Kluyveromyces lactis: one gene and its partner. The main gene of each other region encodes a partner of the protein of the gene in region 2 in a complex. Links are inferred from orthologs where the notes say so. Each region holds a gene or a part of one and is shown on either strand. Other genes may lie near its edges.

What was found.
Region 1: the proteins of TLG1 (region 2) and VPS51 are in contact, whole or in part, in a crystal structure (PDB 2C5I), measured with the Saccharomyces cerevisiae proteins. The link is inferred for Kluyveromyces lactis from reciprocal best matches to the Saccharomyces cerevisiae genes TLG1 and VPS51. Residues at the interface, in NP_010756.3 of Saccharomyces cerevisiae: Pro7, Phe8, Gln10, Val11, Asp14, Glu17, Gln18, Arg21, Ile22, Tyr25, His29, Asp34, Gln37, Glu40, Ile41, Asp43, Ile44, Asp47, Glu50, Thr51, Asp54, Leu55, Arg57, Ser58, Val61, Arg64, Asp65; in NP_012945.1 of Saccharomyces cerevisiae: Lys9, Leu11, Arg12, Val13, Ser15, Leu16, Asp19, Arg20, Leu22, Leu23, Leu24, Glu26, Phe27, Leu30.

The regions. Positions count from the first base shown.
Region 1 is NC_006040.1:186,829-189,439, forward strand, and holds VPS51 (Vps51p), read right to left. Parts: upstream 1,085-2,611; coding exon 536-1,084; downstream 1-535. Other genes in the region: ILT1 (Ilt1p), read left to right, coding at 1-475; KLLA0_D02222g (uncharacterized protein), read left to right, coding at 1,522-2,611.
Region 2 is NC_006041.1:318,878-321,698, reverse strand, and holds TLG1 (Tlg1p), read right to left. Parts: upstream 1,533-2,821; coding exon 837-1,532; downstream 1-836. Other genes in the region: SDC1 (Sdc1p), read left to right, coding at 1,795-2,199; mitofusin complex protein UGO1, read right to left, coding at 2,308-2,821.

The DNA of each region.
Region 1 (2,611 bases), on a different chromosome or scaffold from region 2:
TGGTACTCATTGGCCAGCGCTAGTGATAGGAATCATTGCCACTATTTTGCTTGCAGCAGGATTGATCCCACCATATTTTGAGCTTGCGAAACGTCAGGGACGTGTCGTTGGCATAAATTTCATATTCTTGTTTGTTGACTCACTTGGTGCATGGTGTAGCATTGCCAGTGTTATTGTAGGGAACATGGATATCATGGGAATTGTATTGTATGCTGTCGTCGCAGCGTTAGAGCTCGGGATATTCGCTTCCCATTTCATATGGTGCTGCAGATTTAAATGGTTTGGCAATGGTACTGGTGAATTCGATGATGACGATGTCGGTAGCACAAGCAGTTCCGTAGGTATAGAAATAAACGGAATCGATGGCGACTCTGCTGAAGACGGGATCTTTGCAGGTCCTTATATTAATAACGAGCAGGATAAAGATGATATTGGTAGTAATAATACAAAATCTATGAAAGAACAAAGATCATGATAGTTGATAGGACGAGGATGATCTGGGAAATAAAGAATATACGACATGCAGCGCATACCGTCACTGTTTCAACATGGGTCGAGCCATATTGCACGTTTCTCGCAGTTGCTCCACTAAGGATTCATCCAACTGAGTCATCTCTTTTAGTATTTCATCCACTTTAATCAAATCGTAATAATTATCGTATATAGTATTCTTAATGGCATTGTCTGCTTCAGTTTCCTCTGCCAAGAGCAGATTTTGAACTTGCAATAACTGCTTCAAAGACTTCTTTGTTACATCTATATCACCCTTTTCCAGTTCTAACCGGATCTCTTGCTCTGTATCTTGAGGTGATTTGCAGTTTTCAATGGGTGTAGAAGCAACGACATTGCCAAGATTAGCGCTGGTCACGCCAGAATCAATGTCAGCACCTGATGCTGGTATCGACCCCGTTGTTACTCCAGGTAAAACTGACGGCGATGGCGACTTCGTATCAGCCTTATCCGATTCAGCAGTTGTTTCTCCAGGCTTATTATCCTTTTGTAGTCGATAATACTCTTTCAATAGCCTTCTCTTCTCATTATCTACCCGTTTCAACGATTTTTTATGCGTAATTTGTTCTGCCATGGTCCCAAGAAACACAAACTCTCTTGAATATTACTGAACAGGCTGTAGGCTTGGGGTCCTGTATCGTCTAGACATTCAATTACCCGTTAAGGCTACCTTCAAAATGGTTAGTCCAAAGGTAATTAATGTCAAGCTGAAATGTCTAAAGTATGATGAACGCACTCAAAAAAAAAAAAAGCAGGTCACATGACTACATCACGTGACCTTTATCTTTCCCGTTTCTTTAAAGGGTTTAGCTTCTAGACAGGTTCCATCAAACGTATTTATATACACATTTATGTACATCCCGCAACGTTTGCAGAGAAAATGTCAAACAGATCAACGAAACACCCTCAGATACAGGAGAAGCGATTGGATGACCAAATAGTGGATCTGATACTTAAATAACTCTTCTGTTTTTGGTCTGAGATTGTGAATTTTGGCGCAACAGACCGGGGATGAGGTTTAGATCCCGACATCAAGTGGATAAACCGAACGTTATAGTGACACAAAGCAATAGAAAGAATGAGGATCGATTGGGTGAAGATGCTTCCCTGAAAGCTGCTCAGGCAATGTTCAAGAAACATACTGTGAGCCAAGGGTTTGCAGTATCGGATGCACCAGGGACAAAACTATCTTTACCCAATTCAGGGCATGGTACGCCGGCACATAACGTCCAGGCTATGGCAAGGTCCTCTTCTTCATCCTCTGCAACTTCTACTCCGATAAACATTATTAGAAGAAGTCCGAGATCTAGTTTAAAGGGCAAACCGATGGGCGGATTATCTGTTTCCCCACGGACTGTCGAAGGTAATGCAGCGTTATCGCAGCAAGCTGCGGCTGTAGCATTGGAGAATGAAATTAGTGGTGATGAGTCTATTGTTTTGGTTCCAGCTGGAAACTCAAATGGGAGTATGACGCGGAGTAATAGCAGCATTAATGCAATTCGAATCGTTCCAGGTGGTGGGTTGTCATCTTCTCGTAGCTCATCGAAAGTGTCAATAGTCAAAAATTCACCGACTCATTCTCTGGCGCTTGCTGATAAATTAAACTCGATAACTTTGGAAAGCGTTTATGGAAAACCTAGTACTGCTACTGGGACTGCTACTAGGACGTTGGCCGGGCGTAAGGCGCCTCCAGCTGCTTTTATAGACCAGGATTCCGTTCTTTCGAATGATAAACATAGTGAAAATGAAGACACACCTATCAAGGGCACTATCTCTTATGACACTACGGCAAGAATGAATGTTCCTGTGACTTATGAGGGTACACTCCCAGATCTTATACCAGGTCATCAGAGACACAAAAAGAAGAAATGGCGTAACATTTTTGGATCAAGCGCTACGCATGGCAGCTCCGCTGGAGGTGCTATAGGGATAAATGGCACCTCTGCATCTGGAAATGATCAATATGAAAATCCAAGTGGTACTTTATCTGAGTTACAGTTGAATCGGGCAGAAGATAATCTTATTGTGAAAAGCGTCAATCCAACGCAAAAGACTAGGCTTCAAACCACATTGAGATCTAATGATTACGATAGAAATTCAG
Region 2 (2,821 bases):
ATGCAAAATTAAAATGGAATATAATAAAGTAAGGCAAAAAAAAACTGTGCTGTTATTTTATCCCTGAGAACAGCCAGAAACTATAAGAATCTTGACTTCAATTTCTATCAATGGATATTGTTAGAGAGGGGACTAAACAAAATAGTGAAATATCACACACGCCGCTGCCAATATTGTATTGATTCCTTCAGCTAGTCTAAATCAAGTGAAGAGATATAGAGGGTTTTTGCAGGCCAAAAATTTCAAAAACGATTCTAAAGAAAAGAGCCTGAATAAATCCTAAATAGAGAAAGAAAAAAAAAGTCGGGAAACAAACGATAATTACAAGACACAGAAAATCCGGGAATGAATGCCAGTAAGTATTATCAACTCCGTCCTAATCCTAGTGCCCTTCGCCTCTTAAATGAAATCGCTCTCTTCGATAGTCTTGGATCTGACACTGTAGCTTGACGTGCAAAAAACCCAATCCAGCAAGCAACCTTTTGCTTTTGTACCTTAAAAACTAACTTGGTCTTAATACTTTTCCATTTCTCAGTTTCCATACTTTCTATATATTTCAACAAAAAAATCAGTTCGAAAGCTCCATTGTGGTACGATTTCAAAGCCGCTGTCGTATGTTGTGATTTCCGATTTTTTTCCATACCGCAACAGTGTCGAGAGGTATTTTGTCTATCAGAGGAATGGAACGACGACGATGACGATCCGTCAACTGGGGGGTCAAGAATTGTGTCAGTTTCTCTTAGGAAACTTCGCACCTTTCGTTACTCGGGAATGTGCATCGTCTTCTTCCTTTTTTGGTTTCTGTTTGGTTCCCGGTTCAAATTCGGTGATATACATCACAAAATGAATGCTAGTACTAGTAGGATGATCAATGCAATGATTAAGAGAAAGATGCAGCAGTCGTTGACACGTTCTTTGTTGTGTTCGTAGACCCATTCTAGTTGTCGTCTTCCTCTGGAAAGTTTGTTCATGACTCCGTCGACATTTCCGTCCATTTCTTCGAGAATCATGCCCTGTTCTGTTAGTTCTTGACCCATTGTAGATGCCTGTAGATGAATGTTTTGCATTGTCTGGTGAATCATGTCCAATTGATTGTCTTGTTCACGGAGTAATTGCTCCTGTACGGCGTCGTGGTTTGCCGCGTCTGATTGGTCGGTGCCTGCAGTTGCCTCGATGTCCAAATCGAAGGAATCGCCACGCTGTTGTTGCTGCGGCAGCAATGATGATTGGGTAGCTGCATCGGTGTCGCGGGTTGTCTCGATATTTAACGACTGGCATTGTTTCAATTTTGATTCCAGGTTTGCCATGGACTTCTCACGGGTCTGAATTTCGTATTCGGGAATAGCTTGTTCCTGTTTCATCATTTCTATACTCTCATTTAGATCTTGGATAGTCTCTTGAGCCTCAGAGATGATTTCCGAGATCTCTTTCGAACTGGTGTTCGATCTCCCTTTCTTCTTCCTATCTAATATCTGCAATAATTGGTTCAATTGTTCCTCTGTGTCCTTGAAAACCTGAATAAATGGATCCATTTTGTCCTCTTTGCTTTTGGTGGTTAATTTTGATATAATATTGGTATTACCTGATTCAGTGCGGTCTGTTTCTTGGGGAGCTCGAATTGTACCTGCCTTGGTGAACTTTGTTTAAGATTTCAGTTTGTTATTATTTTCCTTTTATTATTGACAATCTTGAAAAATCACTGAGTTTTGACTATATACATGGACAGATCTACACCTAGACTTGGCCGAATAAAGCTCCAATCCTGGTCTCCTGCCACAACTGAAGCTTATCTACATGTCAGAACCAGTGATGGAGAATATGGCACCTGAAGATGTGGTAAAACTTGAGAAAGAAGAACATATTGTACCGGATATTGGCGTCTCTTCGATTTCTACCACTGAACCCCTGTCTCCATCGGGTATACCAAGGGAATCATCTGGAACTGTTACCTCTGCAACTGCAGCTACAACAGAAAGAGAAGTATCACCCAAGAAGGAACTACAAATTGATCATGATCGTGTTGATCCAGTAGCGATGATCGGTGGGTCAACCACTAGAAGATATTTGAATGAACATGTAACAAAACATTTATTGGAAGGAATGAAACTGATAGCCAGAGAAAAGCCCGAGGATCCACTTCGAGTATTAGGCCAGTTCTTGATTGATGCAAGCGAAATGAACCAGAAGCCTTCATCGTAGATATGAATTTACGACTTTCTTAAACTAAAGACATCTGTATTATTATTATTATTTTATATATGTATGTTTTCCTTCAATGTCCAGTTCACTTATAGATATCTACATGAACTAAAACTTCTCCTCTTCGAGTATTTCTGATGGCTTATTTAAAATCTTCAAACCATAACCGCATAAAATGCTTAGAAGCCCGAGTCTCCAGCCTCGCCATAGTTCACTAATTCTGTCGCACTGCTTGAATACCGTCAGGTAGATGGATTGGTACTCCCTTGGTTTTATGATTAACATTTCAGATTGTACTTGGAATGGGTTTTCTGTGAACAAGAACTTCACTTGACTCCTTCTCAATAGATTCTCAATTGGTAGCTTTACGAAGAGTTCACAAACTTTACTGCAGAACTTTAATGTGTTGTACAGAATCACATTAGTGAATTTGTCAACATTGAACTGATGATATAGTATTGCACCGGTTAATTTGCTAAATCCTGTCCCTACCAGGGAATATAATATATTCAAAAAGACCAATTCCTTATTTAGTTTGGATATGTTTTCCCTCCAGGACCATTTTCTCAACAATTTTCTTAAGGATCTATCGTTATCAGAAAGGGAACCATCGTTACGAACA